Linked DNA regions of Coturnix japonica. The protein of the gene in region 2 purifies or fractionates together with the protein of the main gene of each other region. This does not show direct contact. Links are inferred from orthologs where the notes say so. Each region holds a gene or a part of one and is shown on either strand. Other genes may lie near its edges. The genes, in order: CUL4A, COPS3, COPS7A, CUL4B, BTBD2 and CUL5.

Region 1 (4,670 bases), on a different chromosome or scaffold from region 2:
CTTTGTCTCTCTCCATATAGTCTCTGTCAATGAGAGATTCGATCCTCTTTTTCAAGTCTCCAGGCTTCAAGAAAAGATGAGATCAGTAGAACAGTTAATCATACGAATTCCAATCTATTTTATTTAAAAAGCCTCCACCAAAACAAACAAAAACCTCACAGATGAAAACAAAACAACAACAAAAAACAGGACAGCTAAAAACTACATTAAGAAAATGAGCCACACTAAATGGGTAAACTGTTTTCTTCTGTGTTGGGGTACTAGGTTGTCTTTGCAAGGATTTATGAGTGCATACAGTAGTTCTGAGTAGATGGAGTGTTCTAGAATAGCTGAGTTAGGCCTGTGGGTTAAGAGTTAGTGGGTGGGGGGTTTAGGTAGGTGTGTGTACAGGTTCTCTCGTGTGCATTGGGTTTTGTGTAGCAGGTGTACGCATCTGCGCGGGATTTAGGATCGTATATAAGGAGTGTGATGCAGCAATAAATTGAGAGAAGACATCATGGCATCCATGTTCGTGTCTCTCCCCTGGACAGTCGAGGGATAAGTCAGGTTAATTGGCCGATACGTCACTTCTGATACCTTGGCTCATTCTAATACTTAATCCTAGGATGGTCTGAAAAACAAAATCCATTACCTTTACTGGGAATTTCAGTTGGTTGTACAATTCAGAAACAAGGAGATTGTGACCGAGAGTCTTTCTCATCTTCATTATTCGTACAATGGCAGCATCAATCTGATATTGTCTGTCTTGAAATACTCTTTCAGTTGTGCTAACCTGTTCCTCGACCTAAAGAACAATATGAAACCACAAGTATCACCTTTTATTGCTATCATTTTATCCACGATATTTCTGTAGTTTTATTGCCTACGGGACAGTTACATACATTACTGCTTGCTAAGAACTAAGTGATTCTGAAGTGTGCTGCTGAAGCAAGTCAAATATAAAATTAAAGATCTAAATAAAGATCACGTCATATTTTAAATCTGATAAACCAACTTATAAGAACTCCCTTCATATTTTCAGAAGAACACACAAGAATTTGACAGTCTAAACACTGTCTTCTGCACAAAACTGCTCAACTCGAACCTACTTTTTAATTTTCACAGACAAAGGCCAAAAGGGAACAACTCAATACTAATTAAAACGTATCATCTTGCATCCAGAACTGGGAATTGAGTAAAACAAGGACATCCACTACAAACGAGGGGACAACCCTGACCTTTTAATAGCCTTCTTGCCCTCGTAATAAAGAAAAGTGACACAGTGACAGTTGAGTCATGAGTTCAATGTAGTAACAGCTCTTCAGCTGTACCATGAAAACTTGTAAGACACAAAACATCTGCAAGACCACACCATCAGTTCAATATAATAGCATTTGATTTTGTAGGCAAAGGAAGGAATCTGAATTGTTTTGATTTCAGTGGGATTTACAATCAGTGAGTCATCCTCCCTACCAAAAAATTAAAGTACATTTCCCTTCTAATAATACAAAAGCTATGAGAGGAAATGCAGAGATTCTGTCTCTCCACGTGGGACATGGATAAACAGTTAACCAGAATGAATGCAAAAATAAATACATACTGTTTCTTTCATCTGGATTTGATTGATCTTTATTCTAAACAATTTATGCTTGAAATCACCATTAAAGATGAATTTGTCTCCATCTTCTACATCCTTGCCCTTTGGATTTTTAATCAGTACTCGTGCTTTCCCACAAGCTAGAGACTGCAAGGTTCTTCTTAATTCACTGTCCTCTGTGAACAAATTCAAAGTATAGGAGAAAAGAGAGCAAAACATTAGTATGAAAAGTTTAATGCAATTAAATTAGGCATAGAATGAAAAAAAATTACTGGTTTTTATATTAATGTGTTCTTCCAAGCTAAGTTCTGATTACACAACAGCATACAGCCTTCAAGCTTGGCCTCACGCATCTCATAGGTAAGTGCTGAGTGTGTGCACTGCAAGTGTGCACAGAGCTGCACAAGTTAAGAATACAGACCTGACAGGAACATAGGGATCACCTCAACAAAGCTTCTATCTAGCAGCAGTGTCAGAAAAACAATATCTCGGCAACACAAGCCTGGTGTTATCGCTGCAGATTTGTTTGGCAGTAACAGGACATCGATAGAAAAATCAGCTGATCACAACAAGAAAATTAAACCACTCATTTTAGGTGATTTCATTGCTTTTTTTATACATCAGATGCAAATATAAACACAAATGAAAAACAAAGAAGAAAATAGGAGAGAAGTCTTACCAAACATCTTTCTATCAGCTCAGAAGGTGCCGCTGACAGCTATTATATCCATTAAACTTCTCCACAATAGGAAAGGAGTGGAAACAAGCGGGCAAAGGAAATTTTATCTATTAAGATTTAAAGCTAAAAGCACTTGGACGAGTAGATAAATGAAGCCTAAAACATTCTAGTAATTATCTTGCAAAGACGTCTCAGGATTTGGCATTAAAACAGTCTCTGCGGTCTCTGGAATACTTTTACTCATAACACAAAATTAGCACCAAATGTTTCAGATCCAAAAAGTCTACAAGTTAAAACAAACGTTTTGCAATGCAGTGCTGAACTGCACGGAATGGATGAGCTAAAGTGGAATGCTTGTTATTTCTAAAATACTTTAGCTTACATGTTCACACAGAATGATGTTCAACAACTCAACAGAACATCTTCCATATATTCTTTCATTATTAAAAAACCCTGTTTCACACTTTTTAGGCTTTTCACTTTCAGTAAATGCAGACTGCTGATGTGTTTTTGCCCAAATAGAACCCATGCCACTGTGCAAGGCTGCCATTACAAACCCCAGTACCCTCCAGAGCTTTGCTTCTGCTGTGCGTGTGAAACTGCAGGTCACAGAGTGCCAAAGGGCAAGGAACTCAAAATTGCCTTTCAATCATGCAAGGAAAAGCAGGAAACGCATTTATTTCAGAGAGGCTTTCTCAATAATGAGAAAGGCAGGAAAAACTGGAATATATTTGGACAGTATGTCTCAAAGAAGCACAGCAACCAAAGAGCAGGTAACCACTCTTTCTCTGGGTGTCAGTTGATATATTTTCTAACTATATCAGTCTATCAGCAGCAATCTCGTATCTTCTAAAGAGACCGGGTATAATTTATCCTAACTGTGAGTGCAAAACAAAAGTCCCAGCTTTACCTAATTAATTCTTCATAGGTAGCATACTGTTGAGGTTCCTAATCTTTTATTTTTATATTACTTTTATGTGGCACATTTTAATCATTTATATTTTCTGTATGGTGCCGTATGCTGTTGTTATTCCCTTGATCTTAATGTATGGATGGGTTGAGGGACTAGGAAGCAGCCCCATACAAAAGGATCTTGGGGGCTGTGGCTAGTAGGACGTTGAATGTGAGCCAGCAGTGAGCCCTGCCAGCCCAAAGGGCCAACCGTGCCCTGAGGTGCACCAGGCCCAGCACTGCTGCCAGGTGAGGAGGGCTGTCCTACTCTGCACTGTATGTGGGTTCCAAAATGTAAGGATATAACATTGTTAGAGTGTCCAAAGGATGGCTGTGAAAGTGGGGAGAGGTCTGTAGGGTGTGTGAGGAGAGGCTGAAGTCTTTTGGTGCGCAGGCACAGCACCATGCTGTCAGCATTCAAGGAAACACCCACAGACACAGGGTTTGTTTTTTTGAGTGCTCCTGTGTGGGAAAGGAACTGAATCCTTGTGGGTCCCTTGCAACTTGGGCTGTTCTATGATTCTATGTTCTATATGGATAAAGACAAAGGGATGTGAAGACAAATGGGATATCTTTGGGGTGGGTGGGGTTGTGTGTAAATGTGGCGACAGTCCATGTTTTGTCCCAGAACAGTGTAGACATTTGGTGTTAAATGGGACTTAAAGACGCAATAGACAAAGTCTATAACACAGATAGTGACCAGTCTTCTGGTTATTTCAATGCCCAGGAGTTTAGAAACCCAGACACTCACCTACTTTAAGTACAGGCCGTTTAGAAAACAAACCTGTAAATCCAGCAATGTAGCTAATACAGAAACTGCATAAATGACTAAGAGTCTGAATAGCAGAATCACAGAAGATACCATTTTCACCTCTGTATAGCACACATAGTAGGATCACAACTGACTGATATGAATTAACTGATGCTCTGTCCTGTGGCTGTGCTCTCCTACCAAGTGCAGAGAGGAATGCAGATTGCTCAGCTTTACTGTGTGAAGTGCTTTCCTCAAACAATTGAAAGCTATGAGTCATACCATCTCACTGGCTTCTGCCACACAAACTGATAGTCTCTTCATATTAGCTTCAGTATGACTCTCAGGTAGACCACAAAAATACTGATCTGGTTGGCTCCATCTCCTGCTGCAGTCAGCAAAGGAGCTGGGGATACACTGACTGAGAAGCCTGAGGAACCGCTGTGAAAGTTCCAATAGGAGAAGGGAGATTACCAGAGTTACCCAACAGATTTTTCTAACATTGGAAAATCCCAAATGCTTTACATCTCACTCCTGCACATTATTCATGATGCCTCTAAGAGGCCCACAGGAACATATCAAATGAGCAGAATTTCTGATCACATGGTGTTCTCAACTAAACATCAATGCATGTGCAAGAAACTGGGGGCTGAGTTGATGTGAAGCTTGAGAATTACAGCTTTTGGGCCAGCCATTAATCTTTGACAGCTGAC
Region 2 (4,670 bases):
ATTGCCTAAGCAAGAGAGAAAGAAATGAAACAAGTTTAATATTCTCATTGGTAAAATGCAGTAGCTGCATTAACAACATCTCAGTTTAAACCTGCATGCACAAAGGATGCGCTGACACATTAGATTCACTCCTGAGTGTTACAGCTTAACTTGTGTCAAAAGTAACTATCTAAAACATACTAAAAAAACAAACAACTAAAGTTCTATATGAAGTACTCAAAACGTCATATATTACAGTAATGCCTAACTTAAAAAGCCCTGTTAAGATCAAAGCAAAATTTCTTTGTTTTATATGTATCTAACATTGGACTGTAAATCACCAGTGGCTACTAGTAACAAGGAATGATCCCATGAAAGCTGAATTTGCACACATCCTTACAAGGATTTCATAAGAGATATCATGCAACCTCTTATTTAACCATGATGGAAGAGGCTTGCAGAACAGTAAGCAGCAATTTTAGTTCACCCCAATATTGCTACTCAACAGCCTACCTGGCCTTATAAACAAATGCTGCACTAGTTTATTTTGCACATTTGACAAAGTTTTTCCTCACTGAGTTCCTTGAATTTTGCCATTCTCTCTTCTTTCAAAGAAGAAATAAAACAATCCTTATTATAACAGGCACGAACTGTAACTTCCATCAAAAAATTAGAAAAGCTGAGAAGCAAAGCCATCGTGCTCTTTGAAAAGACACAGTTCTGAGTACCAGCCTGTTTCTAGGCGAGCAGTAATAAGCGGGCACTTGAAAATATTTATAGTGAGATAAATTTAACATCAACCTTTGAGTTGCATAGCTTTATGGTGCATTAGTTGCTTGGCTGTGACTTTCTAAGAAGATAACACTTCTAAATTCAGTTTGTTACTTCACTCTGTACACCAAGAGCACCATTTAGTCTATACTCCTTATGAAACAGCTGATAAATAAAAATGAACCCCAATCGGTTTTATACACAGTTACAATGCACACAGATAGAAAAGCAAATCCAACGTGAATGATGGACAGAAGTACAGGTCTATTAATAGAACTGCATCCTAAAGGTTAAGAACAAAAATAATCAGACTGTTTGTATTTTATACAAGGTACACAGCTTTCTATTCTGTCCTTCGTGGCAATTCAGAGATGACTCATTATCCCAGTGGCATTATATGTGCCATTTTTGCTTTTCAATGCACCACAATTGAGGCTGATCAGTTTTAAAGTTACCTGTTCGTAGAAGTAGAGTGCTCTTTCAAAGTTCTTTAGCCCAGTGTATATCATCCCACCATAGTAGTAATAACATAAAAAGTGCTTTGCATCGTATGCCCCATTTTCTTTACAAATATCCATCATGTCCACATCTAGATATGGGAGGGCAGGTTTAAAGCATTTTGCTAACAAACAGAGCTACAAGAAAACAAATCAAGTTTCTTAAATTAGCTATTTCAAATACCCACAAAGATGACATTGAAATTCAATTCATGTAGTAGTATTTAGTATGCCTCACTCCTCTGAGAGTTAAAGAAACAGTATGTATGTCACAGTAGAGGCATAACATGGATTATACATCGTATTGTGGTATTTGGAAAAAAAACAGATTGTAAACTTCTGGAAATTATGTGAATCCTAAAGAAATCAGACTAAGCGACAAAGCAGCCTGAAACTCCAGGCCTTCCAAACTACCGTGCTGGCAGCACAAAATATTGCACTCAACATTCTCATCCAATTCTAAGTCCCAGGAGCCAAGAATGAGACAGGAGTGCAAATCCAGGCCAAAGACACAGAGACAAACATGCCTTTTGTCAGACTCGAGCAAACAGTATTTGGCCAGTACACTTACACTGTCTAAGAGAAGCTGTGCACAACTTCCAGCCCATAGAGAAGGACTTTCAGAAGTCATGAACAAAACTAAAATCTAGAGACAAGTGCTGAACATTTAATAGGAAGAGAAGGGAGTTTTATTTCAGTATACCACATAACAGACTACTGGAAAAGAATTAAAAAAACCAACATCACAAAACCTAAAGCTTTCTTTACACTGCAATACATGAACATGCATTTATCAAACAGCTACAGGTACTCTACAAGCTTTCACCCTCAGAAAAAAGCCCCGTGTTCCTCTTACCTGGCAGAGATCTGCATGTATTGAGGTCAGCTGGTTTGTGTTCATCTGCATCTTGTCTATGGCTTGTCTGAGAATGCTAATTCCTCGAAGGGGCTGTCAGAAATTACATCTCTTTCAGATAATTTCTCATAGATGGCAGCACATTGGATCTTATGTTGACACTTACAAATGAAAAATAACACTAATTGACAGGTTCCGTTAAGTAATGATTAACTTGTGGTTCCCTTTTTGTAGGACATTGCAGTCACTCAGAAAACACAATAAGCCCATGGTATGTAACTTCTCCTGATCAACTAAACAAGGTCACCAATTCTGCTCCACAAAGACAAGTTCACCAGGAAAACAGTAAACTGTTCTGAGTAAACCTTTTATTGACTCCATGAGTCCATCTAAATTCCTAGCAAATAAAGGCAAATCTCCCACTTCACTTAGTCCAGATTTGATCTCTTCATTCAAGCCAGATTTAACTTACTTTTCCAAGACATTTTCAACACCTAACCCCTAAAAAGAAATGTCCCCTACACTTTAAGGCATTTCATTAAGAACATTGTGTAAGATTGGTGAGAAGAACGCTGAAACATCTCTCTGACTCATTGGCTCTATTAGTTTTTGCAGCTCCCCTCTACTCATGCACACACACCATCTGAATAACAACCCTGGTACACCTGATTTCATGGTGTGAGAGCATGTTTTTAGCTAACTTCCCCCCACATTTTAACTTATATTTTCTTTAAAGAGGTTTTAAAATCGTCTTTTAAGTTCATTACTGCTCAGTAGACTTAACTTACATAAGGAGTCACACAAAAATAGTTTACATGAAGTTAGCAGTAAACCTTTATGAAGCAAGTAATGTCCTTTTTAAGAACATAGCTTTGTAGGCTCCGTATTTGTATTAGATGATATTTGCTCACCTGTTTTCTCTCCACAAGAGCATTTGTTAACTGGTGGCACAGGCCAGCAACTAAACAGAGAAAACAAAAGAATTCAGTAAAACAAGACTACCAATAATACCAACCTATTATCAATATATAAAAAGATTTTTCTATAACAAGCTGAATTAACTTACAAGTGTCTGTTGCATATCTAATGTGTTCCCCATTACAAGTACTGATGAAGAGCTGCACTTGTGAGAATAATGTTTCGAAATCGGGGATGCTGGGCATAGAAAACTTCACAAACCTAAAACAAGACCAAAAAAAGTTTAACACATAACATTCAGAGATTAATTAAAGAAAACCAAAATGTTTTATCTTCAGTCTCTGCAGATACAGGTAACTGCTTGCAAGAAGCGCCAAAGTGGTCACGACAGATGGCATATGATTTCCCCAAGAGCTGCACAGCACTTGGAAGTACACTCTCAATGCATAGTTCTACTATGAATCTAATTAAAAACTAGGTAGGAACTAGCTATGAACAAAGACCTCTTTACCTGCTACAATTATAATCACAATAAATATCTAACAGTGAAGTTTTTAAACTAAACCACATAACTTCTCCAGACACCCACTTGAATGTACCACAGATTTATCAACTATTACTTGATTAGACTTCTATGTCTTGCTAAGAGCTCTTTCTCTTCACTTTCACTTTCTCTCCATCCCTGCTGGTTCCTCAGCACCCTACAAGCTGTAGAGTTCCACGGTGCTTCTCCCATGAGTTGTGATTACACTACCTGTGTGCAATGAGAACTCTGCACGTGGCTTCATGCTTACAGTTTGGCTCACTCATGTCCTGCCAATTAGAAGTCCTGTACTTTTTTGCTGAAGGTAAAAACACTCATACAGGCATAAACGAGAAACAGATACAGCCTTAAGGAAAAAAATCACCATTTGGAAGTGATGATATTTTACAGGCTCCACATTTTTTTTCTGTTGAAAGCACAAATTTGCTTAAACATTTCTTCTAATAAAAGATATATGACTAAAGGAAACTAAGCACTATTCTGCAAGAGACTGAAGAGGCTTGGTTGGCAATTCAGCATGTAGCTTGAAGTTTTGATGCTGTAATGGTTAATTAACAGAAAGCCATGCTTACAAGACAGCAAGAACTCCTAATGAGTGTTCCTGCACATCCAGGGCTCCAAGCACTGTATCCAGATGGGAGAGGTTTTTTGCTAGCAGTTCTCCGCTCTTATTGATCAGCTCACAAAGCTGGGTCATTTGCCCTGAAATAAAAAGCATCCTTGTCAGAGTCCAGTTAAAAAACACACATGCATTCCCATGCTTCATTACACCGAATCCCAATAAAATAAAACAAATGAGGATAACATAGAATCACCCACACAACTGATTGCTCTGCAGTATGTTAGGCACCAGTTCTCAAAAAATAAGGTGGCAGAGAAGCTTCTGACAGCAAAGGAAACCCGCAGAACATGAGCAGCAGCATCAATCTGCCTCATTATAGAGGACTTCAGGATCTCATAGCGACACTAAGCTCAGTTGAGCCAAGTCTCCAAGACTCTGACAAGTTTACTGCGATGCCAAACTCTCTCCAATATGAATAGAAATTACCTACGCTTGCTCTTTCTAGTTGTTAAAAGGAAAAACGTATCTACCAATAACAGTGCC
Region 3 (5,410 bases), on a different chromosome or scaffold from region 2:
TTTGGGTGGTTTACTCAGGCACAAAAACCCAGGTTCAGGGAATTCAAACCTCAGCACAGGCAGAGCTGAGTGGGTGTAGGAGTCACAGTGTCAGTTTAGATCAGCTTACCCAGCCACAGAGCCGTCATGCAGTGTGACACGCACAGCTGGCTGCCTCTGCTCCAAGCCAGTCTCACAGATGCATCCTCTGATGAACGTGATGGCTTTATTCCGGGTACCTCACAGCAGACAAGTTTGCTGGATATATATTTAATCAGCCAGACTCTTGGTGCCATCGAAGAACAGGTTGAGCAATGCCAAAGGGCTCTCATTATCGTGGCTTATTTTAAGATGTCTAAGAATCAGTATATGAGGTAAAGAGACAGCAACAAAGGAGCACGAGTTTGTATAGATATGTCCATAGATCTATATTTTTATTGTTTATATATTTATTTATAATATATTTATATTCTTTTAAAAGAATCCCTTCAAAAAACTACCCTCCCACCTAGCAAAACAAAGATTAAACAATCCAAGATGGCAGCTGCATCCTGGAACGAGGTGTCCCAGGGGTCTCAGAGAGCCAAAATGATTGCTGAGCACCAGTGCACTCTTCCCAAGCTTCTGTGATGCCCTACAGATGCAAAGGTGACAGACGGACTGTTATGACTCTATAAATTGACCTGTCAAAAGGCGGGGAGAGAGAAAGAAATGGGATTGTGGTGATGGAACCTTGAGGGGTAGGGGAAAACAGCAATGCATTCAACTGGAAGCTTAGAGTGTGAAATGTCATGATTAAAAGGTGGGAAGCACTGCCCAGAAAGGAAGTGAAGAAGACAGAAAAGAGTACATGCAGGAGAATTAGTTGGCAAGACAGATCTCAGAGATGAGCTCAGAAGCATCACACTTAGTAGATGGAGGGGTAGCAAGAGTCCCAAGTCTCTTCCTCTCACCCTCCCACCTGTGAAGGGAGATCCAACTAGTTTGATTTAGACCAAATCTTCGCACTGCCCCGGAGCCTGCGGAGAGAGGAAGAAGTTTTAGACTGGACACTAAACTTCATCTCTGACTTCCTTTTCTAAGCGTACACAGAGAACAGCTGGCATTCAGGGAAGGCTTATGAACTGTGCTTCAGATCAAGAGCTGCACCCCCTGAATTAGCCAGAGGTGGAGGTCAGCTTGGACCATTCCAGGCCTGGGGTGTAGACCCCTGCAGTGACCTCAGTGCTACAAAACAGAACTCCCCTCAACACACATTAGGCAGTGGCTACGTTTGTTTGCCACCATTCCTCACCCTTTGGCTTTGGAAGTCTTCTTGCTGGTCTGGCGCTGGTTGGTGCCAGGGGCAGGTTCCCTGAGCTCTGTGAGGTGCTGTTCTGGGTCTTGAGAGGTGGCTGCTGCAGCAGCTGCTGTTGTCACTTTAATTGTCTTCTTCAGATTCGCCACCTGCAACAGCAGTAAAACAAGAACCAAGGAATTTCTCAAGTTATTATCTTTTTTTCCTCCTCCCTTTTATTTTGTCCAGAGCTTTGCACTGCTGAGAAGTGCTTAAGTGACTCCCAATTCTTCCTCAAGCATAACTACCCCGGAGGGTTTCAGCCTAGGGTAATGCCTTAGCCCTATATAGTATATATACTATACTATAGCCCTCGAACAAGGGCTATAGTAACAACAGGGTATTGGTTCCACTCTTTCTTTAAGCAAGGGGTAATGCCTCCTCCTCTCCCTCTTCAGCCCACTCACCTCACTCTCTATCTGCTGCTTAAGTGCCAGCTGTTGTTCTTTGTGTTGGTTGGCTCGGCTAACCTGTTCTTCAATGCCAGACAAGACAACCTCGCAGCCCTGGCACCTGTAGAGAAAATGTTAAGCTGAACAGGACAGGTAATTGGTACTGCAGGGAAAGAAACATGAAGATGACTGGTTGAACTGTAAAGACCAATAAAACCTGGAAGGTAACAGCTACTCTAGGCAGGGTAGGCACAGGGGTGGCAGTCCAAAGCAATAATGTAGTGACATTATTACCTAGGAGGGAGACACATAACAAAGCGGCACTAGGTTAAGAGCTACAGATGTATACTCAGAAAGACTCTTGCCAGCAGCTGGAGCTGGATGCAAAAACTGCTGCTCCTTTCCTCACCCCTCCAATGTGGAAGAACGTTGGATAGTGGAAACTATTTTCCACTGCCATTTGGGAAAGGAGACAGAGGTCACTTTGCTACGCTGCCCCCCAGCAACACACAAAGGATGATCTGGTGAAGCCCCTGACCACTCCTGCAACCTTTGAAGGTGTTAGTATGGGCGGCTTCCTCCTCACCACTCCTGCAATGTGCGGGTGATGGTGCTTAGCTCCTCCCTCCGGATGTCCCTCCCAATGCTGTAATCCACCTCCAGGCGTTGGTTCCGCTGATCCAAGCTCCCTCGCAGCACATCTGCATACACCGCCTCGATCACGAGGTCCTCTAGCTGCCGGACGTTCTTCAGCTGTAACTGCTCCAGCAGCACCGAATAGGGGATGCACTGCAGAGACATGATGGTAACTAACACAAGGTAAACTCAGAAGAAGGAAAACTAGAGGTAAAATAGGGGCATTACCTTGATCTTTGCAGCCAGAGTGACGACCGACAGGTGCCTCAGTTTGTTCTTCTGAGCCTCTGTCAGGGGAGGGAGGTTTGCTGCTTCAGCTGTTGCCAAAGGGAAGGACGGGGCATTAGAATTTATACCTCATGTTCTATTTCCCAGTCCCGCAACGGAAGCATTTGCCCCAGTCCCATTTCTCAGAACTGCATCACAACGGCTCCCAAAGTGATGCTTTGTCTTAGCAGGCCGTCACCATTAATCCACAGCTCAAAGGACCTTCACTGAGCAGCCTCTCCTCCGTTTGAAGCCACCTCCCCAAGCTGTCCCACACCTTATTTATGGAGACCTCTACATCCCAATGAATCCCCCAGTCCTCCCCCCACCCCTCGCAAACACCATTGCCCAGATGTTTTTGGACCCCTCCATGGCCTCCTCGGCCTCACGCCCAAACCCAACCTCGCTCCCAGCTCTGCGGCTTAGGGCACGATTCCCCAAGCCCGACCTCACCCAGGTAGTCGGCGTAGGTGCCGTAGGCGAAGATGGTGAGCAGGTGGAAGACAGGAGAGAACTCGGAGTCGGCCAGCTGCGGGACAGAAGGCGAGTCAGGCCACACCGCGGCCCAGGCCCAGCCGCGGGCAGGGCAGGGCAGGGCACACGGCACAGGGCAGGGCACAGGGCAGGGCTCACCTCGCGTACGGCCGGCATATCCAGCAGCTCCCCGAAGACGTAGATACCCGGGGCCTCCAGCACCTGATGGATGAGGCTGGCGAGCGCGGCGCCGCGGGCGGCCTTGGCCAGCAGCAGGAACTGCTCCTGGCTCTGCCCCGTCACCTTCCCCTCGGCCGCCATCCCGCTGCCGGGCACTCGGCCCCGCCGCGCTGGCGTCCCGCAGGCCCCGGCCCCGCCACCGGGCGCCACCTCCAGCCCGCCCCGAGCCCTCTCCTCTATGGCGGCGCCGTCGCAGCCCGCCCGCTTCCGGGTGTGACGCCGGGCGGGCAGAGTTTGGGGCGCCCCCTGTCGGAGGAGGACTGCGCGGTGCAGCGGGCAGCTCACGGTCCTGGCCCGGGGTTGCCGTCCCGTCCCGGCCCCGCTGGGCTCCTCGGAGCTCGGGGCCGGGCTGGAGCTCGGTCTGTACGCTGAGGCTGCCGGCGTGAGGGGAGCGGCGCTGGGAGGGCCGAGGTGGAAGGCTGAGTTATAATGGTGGCGGCCCCGCCGCTCGGCTGGAGGTCACTCGCCGCTCACAGTATCGCTGTGGCTGGGGCTGTGGGGAAGGGCTGTGATAGATAGCGAGGCCTGCGGTGCTCCTTACGGCGGAATGAAGGAGGAGAAGGGCTGACAAGGTGAAGCAGGGCAGCATCAGTGCAAGGTACAACCACCACCTTCCTGCCTTCACCTCCCTGTCCGTGTGCTTCACCACGCCCTGACACCTGACGCACCCACCTACAGCGGGGCAGGTTGTGTTCTGACCAGGTCTAAGTGTAGCCCTGCTGCTCTGTAGCATGTCTTGCTCTCTCCCCCACCCCCTCACCAGCTCCTTCCATCTCAGTTTTATCTCCCTATCGATCTGTTTCTCTCACACTCTCTGACACGCTTGCTGCCTTTCATTATTAGTTCGATAAAGCGAAGCAGCCCGAGCATCCCAGCTGCAGCAGCCTCCCTCTGCACCGACCCCGGGTCTTGTGTGCTCTTTGCTGGGTCACCACAGTGTTTCTTCTCTTTTGTCCTGCACGGAGCTAAAATAAGGGCAAGGAATGAATCACTACCCGAGCTCCCTTAATGAGAAGGCCATCATCATCTCTGAATATGCAACCACTCGTGTGAGCGCACGGTGTCTTGCCCATAACTTAGCAAAGTCTTTGTTCATCCTTAGATGCAAAATCAAACTGGCTTGTCAAAACGCTGCCAATATTTTGATCTCTAGCCCTTCCCCAAACATAGTCCAGATCTGTGATGATTTTTCACAACTCTATGCCACAGAGTCCTGGGCAAAAAGCTTGTAAGGACGAGGGAGGATGGGGCAAATCTCTTTGCCAGACAACGTGATGGGGAAAGTTTTTAACCACGTAACTTGTACTAGGTTAACACACAGGGTGGTAAGACCTGTGCCTAGTTACATCTAGGGCAGCCTCACACCTATTGCTCACAAAGGAGTTTAAGAGGACGGTGCCTGCGCAGTAACTCTTATTCCCATGTACTCTCACAGCCCTCGGGAATTTGCAGATCAGGACAGACAGCCTCCAGTCATGATTCTCCAGCAGAGAAAGGACCTTTCACATCACATGGTGGCTCGTGTCTGCAATAAGGCATTCTCCAGCGACCGGCTCTTGTTTATTCTCTGCCAGAATACCTGCTATGCTTTTCTCCAGGAAGGAAGTCGTGCTGTAGTCAGGTCGTGTCTCTTTCTGCTTTTTGATAAGTTAAACAGGTTGACCTCCTTAAATCACTGAGATCTGCGGCCTTCAGGTCATCTTTGATTCAAAGTTATTTTTAAAGCATGAATTTCAGCATTGCCCAGGTCACAGAGTGGCCTGATCATCTCCCTTCTTCTCCTAAGTCTTGTCTTTGCACGGCCAGGCACTTCTACAGCATTGTCCACAGGGATTGTGCTGTTTGTTTGTTTGTTTTCTGTCTGATTCCTTTGAAGATCACCTTTTTATTTTCAGCACTGAAAGTTGTTCACTGTAGACGTGGTCTTATCTATTTCATGGCCATCTTTTCCTTTTCATTGCTCTCATCTGGCTTACAGGAAGTTTTATGAGAGTGACCTCCTTAGCAGTGCAACAGGTCATTCTGCACTGGCCCTACCCTCGTTATTTTTAGCACTAACAATATTTGTGTCTTCAGCAAACTGTGT
Region 4 (5,193 bases), on a different chromosome or scaffold from region 2:
GAAAAAATAATCAATCAAAGCAACAAAAGCTGAAAATGATGGATTAAGGGATACGGAGTCGTGCACAGCATATTTCTAATTAAATATATAATTTCAACTCTGCGTTAATATTTGGAAAGAAACTCCCAAGTAATGTGCATAGAAATACTTAGTTTAATACAGGCTTTATGGTCACGAGGAAAAATCTCTGGATTTCTAACTAATCTATTTATGTTTCTCTTGGGTTTGGCCAGAGGATATTTGTAGAGTTAAGGCCTCTTCTAATGCTCGTATAGCTCAAGTGTTTGCAGATTTTCCAGAGGCTCTGCTACGCAGTGCCCACAACAAGACCAAAGCAATTACCACAGCATGAAAAAGATCACCCATGTCACATCCTCAGAAAACCAAGACTGCTTTAAAATGATGTGTTCTCAAGCTCACTCAAATGACCCCTTCTGCTGGGTCATAGAATTTCCCAAATGGAGATGGGAAAAGGAGAAAAATCGGGAAGTCAGATGCATATCCTTGTCACCAACAAGTGAAGTTGACTGCACTCTAATGGACTTTGCAAACTTAAAGGTAAAAACCAACAGCAACAACAACAAACCCCACCAAACACCTCAAAGCTTTATCATTTCTCTTGGGGATAAAAAAAAATAATCCTTCTTCTGTTTACTTCCCCCTCCCAAACATTTCCCTACAGTAATGGCAATATCCCAACACTGACTGTACCGTACAGAGACAACTCGCTACAACTGGGACTTGCTCATTTCCACTAGCCTGCAATGAATACGACATACAGGAGTAAATAGCAACATACTGAATCTTAGGAAGATGTAAAGGACGTGTATTGCTATCGCAGACAAAAGCACACTACGATTATTAGTCATCTTGGCATATGAGCATAAATAAAAACCAGAGATGCAGATTCTCAAGACATTCTTTTTAAGGAAGTGATTCCAAGAGCAATTTATAAGCAATGATGATTGCAGCTCCATGTCATCCCTGGCATGTAGTTAATATTTTCAATGTGAAAAGTTGCCTTCTCTTAAAAATAACAAAGTACATGCAGTGGCAGCATTTATTTCTTGCCATCATGCACCCTAAGTACAAGGTTTTAAGGCAACCAAATTAACAGATGGTGACATGGCAGCACGGGAAACAGACTGGGAACATTCTTGAGAATTAAGTAGTCCTTAAAGCAAAAAGTCACACTGGAACATTACAGTGGCTCAGGTAATCCTTAATCCTCACCTTCTGTGCTATCTCTACAGCACATTTGTATCAACCGCCTCTTTAGAAATACGTTTTAATCTCTGTCAGACCTTTAAGCCCTCTCTTCTCCCACCCAAACATAAGAAGAAAAACAAAACCACTCAGGAAAGTAAGTTCTTGAATTACTTTGAAAGGGAAGAATGGACTAACAAGAAAATCTCACAATTCTCAGACGTTTTTTAGGATAAAAACTACAGAATTTTAGCTAGGATCGCTGCCTTCACCTAGTTCAATTTTGTTCATTAGAATATCATGCTGAATTCACATCAGAAAGCTTCATTTCCCTGCTTCAGTTGATCTCAAGTAACAACATTGGAAAAGCTCCACCATGTTGGTTGAGAAACTACAAAACAATGTAAATTTGAAAAGAAAAAAAAAAAAGGAAGAGCATATTAAAGTAGAAAAGATGCTAAAAAATTAAGCAATAAGCACAGCAGTGATGATACTGCAAGAAAAATAACCTGCAAAAGTCTGAACTACCTACTCTGAAGTCAAGTAGGAGAAGCAGAAAGGAAATCCGCCTTAAGAGCTGGATAATCACCTTAGTTTCAACATTTAAAACTAAGCACAAGCGGATTAACCTACAAACAGACAAAATACACGTGGGCAAGACATGGAGATTCAAGTCTTTTTTTTTTTTAAGGATACTTTGCAAAGACTTACCATAAACAAGGCTAAAATATACTGTATACCCTGAGTCTGGGTTACTGGAAAAGTGCTTTCAAACCTCAGAAGTTTGATCAAAGGTGATTTACACACTTAGGCAGTAAAATGTTTCCTTCAAGATACTAGAAAGGGCCTTCTCCTCAACAGAGTGAATGCAGTCAGAACAATAAGCCCAAGCAGGGAAGTCTGGCTCAGATGTGCACGTGATCGGGCAAGGACGCATCATCAACATAACCCCCCTTTACATAAGTCTAAGAATGTTTACCACAAAAAAGCATTTCCTGTAAAACCTGGAGCTATTTGAAAGCCAACCAGGTTTTCATGTTGAAAACAAAACACAGAGTTGAGCGGCAGCTCCGCAGAGATTGTGAGGAATTATGGTCTGTTACCTTTAAAGTTCTTGATCACTAATTTCTTAGCGGAGCCAGGTTTACTGTTGGCGAAACTGGACACAGTAGAGGAGGCAGCTTTGGTCAGGCCGTTGGCATGGTGCCCTACGGCCACTGAAGAAATTAAAAGGCTTTTATTTTTGAGCTGCTGTTGGTGCTGCTGTTGAGAAGAGGCAGCGGGAGAGGAGGAGGAAGAAGACTCTTCAGCCATCTTCACATCGAGTCCGATAAAATCCAAGGAGTCCTCAAAGCGCAGCTTCTTCTGGAGGTGATGGTTGGAGGAGGCGACCCCCGAGGAGGAGCACGAAGAGGCGGTGATGACTAAAGAAGACGAGGAGGAGTTGTTTTTGGAAGGAGATGACGAGCAGGAGGAAATGGAATCGAATTCCTCTCTTTCAGAGTTGCTATTATTTAACTTTCTCTTCTTGCAGGAGGAGCTGCTGCCGCTACTACCATCAGTGGCGGGCCTGACCTCCTGAGCTGCAGTGGAGGGGTTGGGGGAAGAGAAACCTGTGGGAAACATGAACACACAGAAATGAGCAGGCTGACGGGCATCAAATCCTGGCAGCGCGACAAAGAGGACAGAGCTCTTCCGTCAGCCTCCGGTGGCGTCTCTCAGCGGAGTCTTTTAACTCCTCTCTCCTTATCGACACAGTCCCTCGGTATTCCCCCTCCTTCTCCTTCTTATCCCTCGGAGGAAACACCGGATCTCCTTCTCTTTGTGACTCCGTTTCTCTTCGCGGCTCTCCTCCGTCTCCCGCCCTCAAAGCAGCGCTTCCTCCCCCACCTCCGTCCACCCTCGGGCTCTTCTCAGCGCCGTTCTCCGGCCCCAGCGGTTCCCCGCCGCCCCGCCACCTCTGCTCGGCCGAGCGGGGCCAACAGCGCCCCGGCCTCAGCGCCCTCAGCGCGGCCCCCGCCGCCCGCTCCTCCGCAGGGCTCCCGCCCGCCCCTCTCCGCTGCCGGGGCGCTGCCGGGGCGGCCGGGCCCGGTGCTTGTTATTGTCACTCCAGGCGGGGAAGGGAGCCTAAAGATGGCGGCGCATCCGCTCGCTGTGCATGCCGGGGCGCGGCCGCCCGACGGGCCCCGCTTCGGCCCCGCGGTCCCAGCGGCGCGGCCCTGCCCGCCGGGTTCCGCCCTTCCTCCCTCCCGCCCGCTCGTCCCGCCGCTCCCTCGCGCTGCCCCGCAGCCAACGCCTCAACACGGCCGCCGGCTGCCTGCCCTCTGACCTACCGGAAGTGATCATGGTTGCCGGCCGCTATAACGGCCGCCCGCCGGAACCCTCGCGCGCCGGCGCAGGGCGGGGCCTATGAGGGGCGTGGCCTATAGGGGGCGTGGCCTATGGCGGCGCCGTTGTGGCTGAGGCCGGCGTTGTGCGCATGCGCGGTGCGGGCGCAGTGCCGTGCGTGGTTCGTGAGGGGTTTGTTCGGTGTTTGAGTCCTGAACCGGCTGTATCACAGCGCTTAAATAGACTGTGCCACGCGTGGAAGCTTGGCTGAACGTTGTGTGGATGCTATGTATCGCGGTTGATTTGATATAGAAAAGGTGCTCGGATGGTGGCCTGATCTTTCATGCCGGTGACTCTGAAGCCTTTGGGAGCAGAGCGCGGTGTCAGCACGTTCCATCACAGCATCACACCGCCCTATGGATGAGCACGGCCCTTCCTCGGCTGTACTGCGAGACAGCCGCATCCTGCTTTGCCATCCATGCACATGCACAGAGACACAGCGCGTTCCATTCACAGAATCACAGAATGTCCCGGGTTGGAAGGGACCTCAAGGATCATGTAGTTCCAACCCCCCTGCCTGGCAGGGCCACCAAACATACACCTTTACTAGATCAGGTTGCCCAGGGCCCCGTCCAACCTGGTCTTGAACACCTCCAAGGACGGGGCATCCACAACCTCCCTGGGCAGCCTGTTCCAGGGCCGAACCACTCTCCTAGTGAAGAATTTCCCCCTAACATCCAACCTAAATCTTCCCTCTTTTAACTTAAAACCATTTCCCCTAGTCCTGCTATTATCAGCCCTTTCGAAGAGTTTACTCCCCTCCTGGGAGTAAGTTCCCTTCAGGTACTGAAAGGCTGCAATGAGGTCACCTCGCAACCTTCTCTTCTCCAGGCTGAACAAACCCAACTCCCTCAGCCTGTCCTCATAGGGGAGGTGCTCCAGCCCCCTGATCATCTTCGTGGCCCTCCTCTGGACCCTTTCCAAAATCTCCATGTATTTCTTGTACTGAGGGCTACACACCTGGACACAGTACTCCAGATGGGGCCTCACAAGAGCCGAGTAGAGAGCGACGATCACCTCCCTATCCCTGCTGACCACCCCTCTCCTGATGGAGCCCAGGATCCCATTTGCTTTCCGTGCTGCCAGTGCGCACTGCTGGCTCACGTTAAGTTTCTCATCTATCAGGACCCCCAGGTCGTTCTCAGCCGATCTGCTCTCAATGACCACTCCTCCCAGCCTCAGCAGTTCCGTTGTCATACAGCGGCGCGACATGCCGTAAAGCGCGCGGCGTTTCCGGCTGGCGCTGGAGGGGGAGGGCCGGGACCTCGTGTGAGGGAGCGCGGAGTCCCGGCAGCCCGCCCCGCGCCCGCCGGTCCACGCCCGGCACAGGATCTCGCTGTCCCGGCTCCCACCGTCCCAGGATGTTCAAAAAGTGAGTGGGGTTGGTTGGGCTGATTGTAGGAGGCCGCTATGGGCCCTGTGAGTGCGCTCGGCCGGGCCCGGCGCTCCGTCCGCCTCAGCAATAGGGCCGGGGCCGGCGTCACGGCTCTTGTAAGCTTGTATCTCAAAGTTGGGCACATTATGTTGTTAATATCTGTAAACGTTACGTCGTTTGGGCAGCTAATTCAGTGTTTCTGAAATGTTTTTGCTCGGCAGATT
Region 5 (5,275 bases), on a different chromosome or scaffold from region 2:
GTTCTCAGCTTTATTTCAGGGAAGTCGAAGCCTCCCAGCTGGCAGCGTTTCTGACGTCTCCTCTTTGTCTAATAACTGCTGATCACTTCAGCTTCACTCCAGAGACCAGCAGCCACTTCTCCCTTGTCCTTTCTGCACCCCTTCATGGGTGTGACAGCACCCCGAGCACATTCCTCCACTGTCCATACGATCCCTTCTCTCCTGGGCTTCCTTCCATCGACCTGCCTTGTAACCATCAGGCCACAAAATGACTCATTTTCATTTGTTTCATTGCACGCAGGGCTCTAATTAGCTGCCTGCACAGTGACCAAAGGCTGCTTGCTCCATGCAGTGTCCATACAGGGCCAAGCAGCAGCCTGCAGCTCCCTCTGATGTTTGCAGCTAAACACAAGGAGGACAGAGCGAAAAAACACAGCTTTGAGTGAAAAAACCAACGCTGAAATGCATGGAAAGCAGCTCCGCCAGCAAAAGGGGTGTAAGGCTGCGACGTGATGCAAGGAGAAGGTGTTTGTGTGTCCATGTTCAGTGCTCGGTTATCAGTCATAGCAGGAAGATTTCAGAGGTAAAGCAGCTTCCCTCTCGAGGCTGCCGTGCATTCCTGCATGCAGAAGGGTCAGTTAATGGCCGGCTCTGGGCACTAGCATAGCTGTGGGTAATGGGAGTTCCCCCCAATTAGGATAATGCAGCAGAAACCTGCCGGGTGTGCACTGCAGCAAAGCCGTCCATCCACACCGGTGTGTTGCAGCCACAGAGATCGATCCCATGAGGTCCCTCAGCTGTGCAGGGTTTCAAAGCTCCGACCCTATACCAGGTACAGCTCCGTGTGGCAGCAGAGGGGCAGGCAGTGCACTGCTGCAGTGGAGGGATGCACCAGCACTGTGTGTTTGCTTCCCACCCCTCCCCTATCTCCCCCTGTGCCCTCAAATCTGCCCCTTTCCCCTCACATCTGCCCCTCAGACCCCTCAGATCTGCCCCAGACCCCAGAACTGCCCCTCAGAGCCACTTATCTCCCTCACAACCTCCCATTCTCCCTTCACAACTGCCCACCCCTCCCCTATCTACCCCTTTCCCCTCACATCTACCCCTTTTATTCAAATCTGCCCCTTTTACCTCAATTCTGCCCCTCACACCCCTCACAACTGCCCACCCCCCCCTATCTGCCCCTATGCCCTCAAATCTGCCCCTTTTACCTCAAATCTACCCCTTTTACCTCAAATCTACCCCTCACACCCCTCACAACTGCCCACCCCTCCCCTATCTGCCCCTTTCCCCTCAAATCTACCCCTTTTACCTCAAATCTACCCTTTTCCCCTCAAATCTGCCCCTTTTACCTCAAATCTACCTCTTTTACCTCAAATCTGCCCCTCACACCCCTCACAACTGCCCACCCCTCCCCTATCTGCCCCTTTCCCCTCAAATCTACCCCTTTTACCTCAAATCTACCCCTTTTACCTCAAATCTACCCCTTTTACCTCAAATCTACCTCTTTTACCTCAAATCTGCCCCTCATACCCCTCACAACTGCCCACCCCTCCCCTATCTGCCCCTGTGCCCTCAAATCTACCCATTTTACCTCAAATCTACCCCTTTCACCTCAAATCTGCCCCTTTTACCTCAAATCTACCTCTTTTACCTCAAATCTACCCCTTTCCCCTCACATCTACCCCTTTTACCTCAAATCTGCCCCTTTTACCTCAAATCTACACCTATGCCCTCAAATCTACCTCTTTTACCTCAAATCTGCCCCTTTTACCTCACATCTGCCCCTTTCCCCCTCACATCTGCCCCCCCCTCCCCTCAGAACCGCCCCCTCCCCTCACTCCCCCGCCTTCGCCCCGCCCCTCCCCTCACCCCTTTCCCCCTCCTCCCTTCCCCTCCATGCCGCGGTGCTGCCCCGCTCTGTTCCTCTCCCCCCGTCCCACCGCCGCCCCCATCCCCTCCATCCCTTCCTCTATCTCCTTCTCCCCGTTCCATCCCGCCGCCGTGTCCCGCCCGCCTCTTGTGGTGCTGCTGCTCCTGCAGCGCCGCCCCGCGCCGAGCCGCGCTCCGCACAAGATGGCGGCCGGCGGGAGCGGCCCCGGGGGTCTGTCCTCATCCTGCCCTCAACCCCCACCGCCTCCCCCGGGGAACGGAGCGGCCTGTGCCGCCTCAGCCGCTTCCGAAGGAACCCCAGCATCTCCAACGGGACTCACCTATAACCAGTGCGGAGCCAACAACCCTACGGCGACGGCTGGAGGAGGAGGAGGAGGAGGCCTGGGAGTGGGGGCGGCCCCTCCGGGCGGAGGGCTGCAAAGAGAACCGGTGTATAATTGGCAGGCGACTAAACCGACGGTGCAGGAACGATTCGCTTTTCTCTTCAATAACGAGGTGCTGAGCGACGTGCATTTCCTGGTGGGGAAAGGCCGAGGGACGCAGCGCATCCCGGCACACAGGTGGGGAGAGCAGGCCTGAGGGGGGGGAGAGCCGTGGGGAGGCCTTAAAGGGGATGTATATCGGGGATATAGGGGGGTGGAGGCCTTAAAGGGGATTATAGGGATATACGGGGGTGAGCCCTTAAAGGGATGTATAGGGGATATAGGGGGTGGGAGGCCTTAAAGGGATGTATAGGGGATATAGGGGGGATATGGGGGGGTGGGAGGCCTTAAAGGGGATGTATAGGGGATATAGGGGGGTGGGAGGCCTTAAAGGGGATGTATAGGGGATAATAGGGGGGCATATGGCGGGGGCTGTGGAAGGCCCTTAAACCGGGGAATTGCTAATAAGGGGATAATAGGGGGTGGGAGGCCTTAAAGGGGATGTATAGGGGATATAAGGGGGTGGGAGGCCTTAAAGGGGATGTATAGGGGATATAGGGGGATATGGGGGGCTGTGTTTGGGTTGTGGAGGTGAGAGCCGAGTGTAGGCCCTGGGGGGTGCATAGAGGGAGTGGGGTGTGGAGAGAGCCGGGTTTAGGGTGTGTAGGTATAGGGAGAGCCGTGGGTAGGCCCTAAGGGGGATGTAGGGAGATGGGGAGGGCAATGGGATGGGTTTAGGTTGTGGAGGTGTAGGTGAGGTGGGGAGGGCCACATTTAGGGTCTGAAGGTGAGGGAAGAGCCATGTGTAGGGTATGATGGTGAGGGCAGGACTGTGGGTAGGTTATGGGATGATGAGGAGGGCCCTAAGGGGAGAGCTGTGTTTAGGGGCTGAAGGTAAAGGGAAGGACGTGGATTGCTGGGGGTGGAGAGGGGAGAGCCTGGTTTAGGTTGTGAAGGTGAGGGCCATGTGTAAGCCCTTGGGTTGGGGGCATAGAGGGGATGGGGAGGGCTGTGGGTGTGGGGAGTGGGATGTGGGGATATCCATGTTTGGGGTCTGGAGGTGAGGGGAGAGCCTTGAATAGGCCCTAGAGGAGGTATGGGGGGAACGGAGGGGAGAAATGGGGAAAGTCATGGTTAGAGTGTGAAGGTGAGGGGAGAGCTGTATGTAGGGCCCAGAATGGGGTGGGGGAGCGGGATGGGTTGGGATGTGGGAAGAGCCATGTATGGGGGCACTCAGCCCATAGATGAGAACAGCCCCAAAGTGAAACACTCCTTAATTGCTCTGTGATCCCTGGGCGGTGAAGGTAGAACAGAGCGTGCCATGCCATGACATCCCACACAGGGACTGCATAGAGCTTAATGACACACGTGTCGCTCTGTTCCTGTGTCAGGATGGGTATTTTGGGGTTTCCAGGATGGGTATTTTGGGGTTTCTCTGCAGCTGTGGGGTGGTTGTGGCTCTGCAGTGTTCTGTTGTTGGTGTTACCGTGGTGCTGTGGGCACAGAGCTGAGCTGGGTGCTCCTTAGCAAGGGGAAGGAGATGCCACATAGAGAGGGGTTTTCTTACCTCGTGTCCCTCTCGTGCTGTAAGGAAACTGAAAAATCTCTGATCTTGCAGAGTTTGGAGCACTGTTGTGTCTTTCCCATTTGGGTTCAGCAATGTGAAACAAACCGGACCGGCCTTTCCATGAGTGGAATGGGAGTAGAGATTGGAGAGCTTCTTTCATGCAAACACCCCTTTCAGATCACTCTGCTCTGTGTTGCCTATGAGAATGGCAAACTTAGAGTGCAATTAGTTGATGTTAATTGTTAGTAGGAAGTAGAGCCTGCAACTGTCTCACCATCGTCGCAGAATGTGCCTCTTGTGCTTTCCTTCCTGCCGTGCTTTGTCCCCAGCTCTCCTTCCCAACACAAGCAATGCTGCCTGGCACAGCACTGCACCCGTGGGAGCCTTGTGCATGGGGGACAGAGCAGCAAGGGACCAAGCAAGAAACTGGATGGAAACCGAGGAGGAATAAAAAAGCTGCTGTGTCACTTCCTACCGCAGTAAACTCCAACCAGAGCTCCCTGGTGGCAATGGACTTCCTGGGAGCCCGAGAGCCGGAGCGTTGTGCCTCGTGCCTTCCGTCACGTACCGCCTTCTACCTCTCTCCATCGAAGCGTGCACCCAGCTCTGCTGCACTGGGAGCTGCCGTGCTTCCCAGCTTCTTCCTTTCCATAATGGGTCAGGGAATTAGTTGGAGTCTTTGCTTCCCCACTGCTGGTGGCTGCTCAGTGCCTTGGCTTCAGGGAACAGCTGAGCACATCCACCAGGACCCAAGTGCTTCCCTGGGGAAGCCCAGCTCTGCCTTCCCAGCAGTTCTCAGAGGTGCTTGGCAGTGGTTTCAATAACAGCAGCCCAGCTCTGTGCCTGCCCCTGGAGCAGGAGCTGGTGGTTGTTGGTGAGGGATGGCACCGTGTTCACACCGGGTTCTTTTCAGCCTCAAACCTGGTTTGTGGGAATCCTTGCTTCCTACATTCAGAGCAGCTGCATGCGTTCTGCTCCACCATGCACAAAACCTTGTGAACCACTGGGATGCTGTCTGCAGGGCTCAGGTTGTTTGCAACACTGGTGTTTTCTCATTAAATGAAAGAAAACAGTGACGTTCCCTTCTCTTGCAAAACATGCTGTCAGCAGCTCCCCTCCCTTGGGGAGCCCCTGGGGACCAGCAGCCAGTTGGGATTTCTGTGTGTATGAGCCTGGTTTAACATCAGCTTTTTGGGCTTTGTTTTGTGGTTTTAGGTTTGTGCTGGCTGTGGGCAGCGCCGTCTTCGATGCCATGTTCAATGGTGGGATGGCCACAACTTCCACAGAGATCGAGCTGCCCGACGTGGAGCCCGCTGCCTTCCTGGCTCTGCTGAAGTAAGCTGCTAATGCACGTCACACCGGGATGGCTGGATTGATTGTAGAGAGGAGTGCTTCCAATGAAAGCACTGAACCA
Region 6 (5,165 bases), on a different chromosome or scaffold from region 2:
GTATTGATCTCCATCAGATGCACCGCGCAGTACTGTGAAAATGCAGCATCCTCCATCACTGAGTACATTTCCATATGTCTGTGCTTTTACTACTGAGCTGTTTACAGTCATTGTATATTAAGGCTAATTCAGAAGGAATGAGGTAGGACAGATGAGGTCCCAGCCTACAGTAAGCAGAATTCCCATTCTGATTCCTCTCTGCTCCCAGCAGCTCTAAATATCAGTGAGATGATCATAGCAAAGCCATTACACAAAGCAGAAAGACAGCCATGGGGAAAGCTCCGCTGTGCAACTACGTGGAACGCAGCATTCACCACAAGCTGCTCTAATTGGAAATAGGCAGGAGAAACTTAACGTATCTGGAAATATTTTAGGTTGAAGAACTAGAAAAATGCAGAAATGTTTCCAGTTTTAAGTGACAGAGCACTACGACCCACAAAACACAGCTGAAACAAATGAAAGGTAGATCATGGTTCTCATTTAAGCCTACTGCAAACCTACTTGTTTTGCTGCCTCCCCCCTAACACCAGGCTCAGACTGCAATTCAACTTGCTCTCACCAACTCTTGCATTTGCTGCCACCTCCAGCAGCTCCAACAAGCCCTACAGAAGCATCAAGACCAGCTCACGTGGGTACAGCTACAGGTTTCCTTGGCGCTGTGATAAGCTGAGCCGCTTTCTGTCCCAGGAGCTGCAGAGAAACCCGTGTGCCTTCACATCACCAATCGTCACCTCAAAGCCAACAGCTGACGCTCCAACACCTGCCCTACAAATTAATTCACCTTTCACAATTAAAAACTGCACTAGCAAAGATGAAGCGACGCCCTGTGAAGGGATGAGAGGCTGTCAGGGATCGGCTCAGCCAGGATTCACTACAAGAGTAAGAAAGGAGCATTTCACTTCATTTTCTCGGCTGTGCAGAAGGTTGAGGGAAGACGGGGAAAAGCAGCAAACTCTCAGTTCCTGTTTATCCCAACAAAACTGAGACCCGCCTAAACCTGACGTGGGTTTGATCGTGTGTTGGGGTTTTGTTTTTAATACCAAAAAACCTGATACGTTTTCACTATGCAGAGGACACTGTTTGCTTTTTCTTTCTTTTTTTATTCTTTCTTTGCCCTAAACATGAAAGCAGAATTGCATTTCACAAATCTCAGTCAGCATAAGGCACTGCCAATGGGCAACAACCTGCAATCAACAGCAATGGGAGCACACTGAGCATCACAGCTGGGGAACAAAAGCCCTTATCCAGTCACAATTATCTTATTGGTTTAGTGTGTCATTACAAACAAAGCCAAATCACTGTATGACCTTCTCTTTCACGAGGCAACAGTCGTAGTTCATTGTCTTTAGAAAACTCCCTAATTAATAAGACATACGGCTTAGAAAATACTCCCAGGTGCTCTAAACCCCCTGGTAGCATTGTTCCGGAAACACACTGTGCACGTGTATCTTTCTGTCCATTTAAAATGCTAATGATTTAAAGGCCAACTGCAGGGATGCCACTACAGCAACAAAACAGCTTCAGATCAGTGAGAGCCATCTCACAACAGCAAGGCCTTTGACTCTATTTGCACTTAGCATTCACTTATTCTTTCCTATGAGCTGAAGAGGAATGCTGACAGATCTCACAGGCCTGTTTCCAGCTATTACAAGCTATACAGCCACGTCTTGTCACAGCACACATAGGCCTTTCCAGAGCCCCTCAGCAGTGGACTAAAGCAATAACAAGCAGACACATTGTCTGAGCTTGTCCAAGCTTTAAAGCCACGCTCTCCTAAAGAAACCCCCTTTTTGCCCCTATAGCTCTGAGCGGGACGTGGAGCTTTTCTCCTGCAGTCCTGAATTCAGTCGGTTTGGTCTTATCTGCTTTAATATCTAGACAACAGGGAGGAAAATTGAATGAAAACTCATTTTCATTGCATGTCAATTTCAATAAATTTATATATATATGAGCGTGTGTATATGTGCGTGAGGAAGACATGAGGCTATTGATTATTCCTCTTTCCTTCTCACTGAGTGTCTCAGAACAGCTTCAGGGCAAACCCACAAACCCAGCACAGGTCAGGTTGGCGAAATGCAAGCAGCACCTCCTCAGAACTCTACTTAAGTATAATACATAGAACCGGCCACACATACACTTCTAAATATACAGCCATTTTATAGTGCTAACTGCTGCAAGTAAGTAAACCTGGTGCCTTGTGAAGGCCTCGCACCTCAATCAGGCTGACGCCCCAGGAGCAGCTGTGTGGGGCAGGCCGGCCCCGGGCACGTTGGCACAGCCCTGGAGGCCACAGAAGGCCCGGTCCCCGCACACGCCGCCCAGCTCAGGCCGGGCAGCCCCGGGCCGGGCACGGCCTGTGACAGCCAAAACTTGTGTGCGAACTTGGCTCGGTTTGGGGTGAGTGACATCTGCCACCAAACACCGGGAACGGGCCTGAGAACATCTGACCCCCAAAGCGGAGCCGATTAAAGGCCTCGAGGAGTTTTTCCTTCGCAGCAAAGCGCAGTTAGCAGAAAGGAAAAGGCCAGAACGCGCCGGCAACCCGACCGGCGACACCTGCTCGCGGCGAAGGCATTGCCCAACTCTTTGTTCAACTCTAAACTCCTTTTCTGCACCGCGGGGTTCCCCGCAATAAACAAAGGGCCGACCCCGTCCTGCAGCCCGGGCGGACAGAGCCGGGAGCGGGAGGCCACGGCCCGGCCGGGCCCCGAGCCGAGCCCCGAGCCGAGCCCCGAGCCGCACAGCCGAGGCCGGGCCCGGGCCGCCCCCTCCGCCCGGGGCGCAGCGCCGCGGCCTGCCCGTGCCGCCGCCCGCAGGCCCAGCCGGTGCGGGGCAGCCCCAGAGCCCGGCCCCGGCCGCCTCTCCCCGCGCGCAGGGCCGGGCCGGGCCCCGCTCTCACCTTTAAGAGATTAGACGTCGCCATGATCTCCCCCCCGCCGACGGCGGCTCCTCTCCCCGTGCTCGGCTCTGCCCCGGCCGCCGCCGCTTTACATGGCCGCGGGCCGCCCGCCCGCCCGGCCCGACCCGCGGCGGCGGCAGCAGGAGCAGCGGCCGCAGCTCCGGGTTCCCCTGCCCGGGGGCGAGGCCGGCACCGTGCTCGGGGCGCTCCGCAGCTCTACCGGGTGGCTCCTCCGCACGCAGCCGCCCCTCAGAGCCTCATGGCGGCGTCCGCCCAGGAGGCGCTCGGCAGCAGCCCCGGCTCCATGGAAGGGGCCGGCCCACATGATGCGGCGCCGCCGAGCCGGCCCCGCCGCCAAGCGCGGAGGGAGGCCCGGGCGGGAGCTCCGCCTGCAGCGACCCCTGGCCGCCGCCGACCCCCGAGAGCGCTCCCCCAGCTGAGGGCGCCCGGGGGGGTGGGCGCTTTTCCTCATGGACCCTTCAGGCTTCCCAGCTTTTCTGTTCGGTGATTCTTCAGCGTGTGGCCATAGGAGCCATAATTTTACTTTCCTGTTTAAAAAGGCATCCTTCATCCAAAACGTATCTTAAAGAAAACAATTCAACTTTCCTCTGACCTCTCAGGACAGAGCCCTACACCTCCCTCTGCTTACACAGAATCACAGAATGACCCGGGTTGAAGGGACCTCAAGGATCATGTAGTTCCAACCCCCCTGCCTGGCAGGGCCACCAAACATAACCTTTAACTAGATCAGGTTGCCCAGGGCCCGTCCAACCTGTGTCTGTAAACACCCACAAGGACGGGGCATCCACAACTCCCTGGGCAGCCTGTTCCAGGGCCTAACCACATCTCTCTAGTAAAGAACCTCCCCTAACATCCAACCTAAATCTTCCCTCTTAACTTGGATCCATTTTCCGTGTCCTGCTATTGTCAGCCCTTTCGAAGAGTTTACTCCCTCCTGGGAAGTGTCCCTTCAGGTACTGAAAGGCTGCAATGAGGTCACCCCGCACACTGTAAGGCATAGAGCCCCTAAGGTGTTAGCTACATAGAAAAGCTACATTCAACATTCAACAAATCTCTGCTCTCTGAAAATTTAAGTAGTGTTGACTAACTAAGGCCTGCAGCCTTATTATATTAATAAATAGCCTAATCAAGGCCTTCTCCTAACTGAGAAGTAACACAGAGGTACTGGAAAGTTTCTTATTTGACAAAGTTTCCAGTCTCAGAATACTTCAATAAGTCTGTTATATGGAATAAATATAACTTTCATTTAAGTATATATGCAATATTCATTGTATACATAAAGCATGCAACTATACAATGGTATGTATTGTATATAACTAGATAATACAGATGGAAGTGTATCACATACTGTCCATTGTGTACATATTCCACAGCAGTGCTGATATTATGAGGTCTCTGGCAAGGTCAGTAGAATGTGTGCATTGTGTATGTGTGCATTAAGCACAGTGTGAGTACTGCATTACAGGTACCTTTGTCTGTGAACCAGAGAAGCTGAGATACAGGCAGGTATTCTATAGGCTGTGGTGTGGATGTAGACATCTCTGGCCACTGCCCCATGACCTGGTCCATCCTCTTTTCCTCAAGCTCTTTTGAAATGAGACTATTTGCAATTATTTGAGATTCGGTTTTCCTTTCTGTTTCTATCACCTCTCTTAATTTTTAAGAACATGCTTGGTTATAATGCCACTATTTGGTGATGTTTTTCAACTTTCTTTTTGTGTGGAAGAAATTAGACATCATTTACCCAGAAAAAAAACCAACCAACCAAACAGAAATGTGCCAGAAATAGTGCTCCATGGAGAACTTCCTCCTGGTTCTCTTTGGTGCAGAGCTTAGAGTACAAAACCACAATGCAAGTCATTAGAATTTCATAACTGCAGATTTTGCTTAGACACTGTTTGAACTGAATGAATTTGGGCTGTTCCATAGCACTAAGTTATAAAGTGATTTATTCTGTAATGTCACTTGTCTGTTATAAAATATACCAGACGTCCTTTATTGTACCATTTATCCCTGATTATTTTTCTAAAGCTATGTTTGTTTCTTTAAAAAGATCTGAGGGTGCCCAAAGAGGCTGTGGATGCCCCATCCATGGAGGCATTCAAGGCCAGGCTGGATGTGGCTCTGGGCAGCCTGGTCTGGTGGTTGGTGACCCTACACATAGCAGGGGGTTGAAACCAGATGATTATTGAGATCCTTTTCAACCCAGGCCATTCTATGATTCTATGATTTTCTTCTGAGTGAT

The links.
Region 1: the proteins of COPS3 (region 2) and CUL4A purify together in Homo sapiens (affinity purification with mass spectrometry; 10 studies listed by BioGRID and IntAct, counting the BioPlex papers as one, with this or other methods). This does not show direct contact. The link is inferred for Coturnix japonica from reciprocal best matches to the Homo sapiens genes COPS3 and CUL4A.
Region 3: the proteins of COPS3 (region 2) and COPS7A purify together in Homo sapiens (affinity purification with mass spectrometry; 14 studies listed by BioGRID and IntAct, counting the BioPlex papers as one, with this or other methods). This does not show direct contact. The link is inferred for Coturnix japonica from reciprocal best matches to the Homo sapiens genes COPS3 and COPS7A.
Region 4: the proteins of COPS3 (region 2) and CUL4B purify together in Homo sapiens (affinity purification with mass spectrometry; 11 studies listed by BioGRID and IntAct, counting the BioPlex papers as one, with this or other methods). This does not show direct contact. The link is inferred for Coturnix japonica from reciprocal best matches to the Homo sapiens genes COPS3 and CUL4B.
Region 5: the proteins of COPS3 (region 2) and BTBD2 purify together in Homo sapiens (affinity purification with mass spectrometry; 3 studies listed by BioGRID and IntAct, counting the BioPlex papers as one, with this or other methods). This does not show direct contact. The link is inferred for Coturnix japonica from reciprocal best matches to the Homo sapiens genes COPS3 and BTBD2.
Region 6: the proteins of COPS3 (region 2) and CUL5 purify together in Homo sapiens (affinity purification with mass spectrometry; 3 studies listed by BioGRID and IntAct, with this or other methods). This does not show direct contact. The link is inferred for Coturnix japonica from reciprocal best matches to the Homo sapiens genes COPS3 and CUL5.

Annotation. Positions count from the first base shown.
Region 1 is NC_029516.1:123,871,302-123,875,971, forward strand, and holds part of CUL4A (cullin-4A), read right to left. Parts: intron 1,753-4,670; coding exon 1,580-1,752; intron 785-1,579; coding exon 632-784; intron 65-631; coding exon 1-64. UniProt on the Homo sapiens protein: Core component of multiple cullin-RING-based E3 ubiquitin-protein ligase complexes which mediate the ubiquitination of target proteins. As a scaffold protein may contribute to catalysis through positioning of the substrate and the ubiquitin-conjugating enzyme.
Region 2 is NC_029529.1:4,775,179-4,779,848, forward strand, and holds part of COPS3 (COP9 signalosome complex subunit 3), read right to left. Parts: intron 4,268-4,670; coding exon 4,138-4,267; intron 3,283-4,137; coding exon 3,170-3,282; intron 3,065-3,169; coding exon 3,015-3,064; intron 2,265-3,014; exon of another isoform or gene 2,197-2,264; coding exon 2,104-2,196; intron 1,386-2,103; coding exon 1,206-1,385; intron 6-1,205; coding exon 1-5. UniProt on the Homo sapiens protein: Component of the COP9 signalosome complex (CSN), a complex involved in various cellular and developmental processes.
Region 3 is NC_029516.1:69,466,270-69,471,679, reverse strand, and holds COPS7A (COP9 signalosome complex subunit 7a), read right to left. Parts: upstream 3,503-5,410; 5' UTR 3,406-3,502; coding exon 3,244-3,405; intron 3,140-3,243; coding exon 3,064-3,139; intron 2,661-3,063; coding exon 2,572-2,660; intron 2,497-2,571; coding exon 2,294-2,496; intron 1,829-2,293; coding exon 1,723-1,828; intron 1,426-1,722; coding exon 1,274-1,425; intron 999-1,273; coding exon 959-998; 3' UTR 941-958; exon of another isoform or gene 614-940; 3' UTR 383-613; downstream 1-382.
Region 4 is NC_029519.1:15,291,746-15,296,938, reverse strand, and holds the start of CUL4B (cullin-4B), read right to left. Parts: upstream 3,619-5,193; 5' UTR 3,553-3,618; coding exon 3,540-3,552; intron 2,820-3,539; coding exon 2,310-2,819; intron 1-2,309. Other genes in the region: MCTS1 (malignant T-cell-amplified sequence 1), read left to right, coding at 4,956-4,966, 5,191-5,193.
Region 5 is NC_029543.1:1,316,688-1,321,962, forward strand, and holds the start of BTBD2 (BTB/POZ domain-containing protein 2), read left to right. Parts: upstream 1-1,867; 5' UTR 1,868-1,878; coding exon 1,879-2,432; intron 2,433-5,076; coding exon 5,077-5,196; intron 5,197-5,275.
Region 6 is NC_029516.1:161,332,146-161,337,310, forward strand, and holds the start of CUL5 (cullin-5), read right to left. Parts: upstream 3,206-5,165; 5' UTR 2,924-3,205; coding exon 2,900-2,923; intron 1-2,899. UniProt on the Homo sapiens protein: Core component of multiple cullin-5-RING E3 ubiquitin-protein ligase complexes (ECS complexes, also named CRL5 complexes), which mediate the ubiquitination and subsequent proteasomal degradation of target proteins.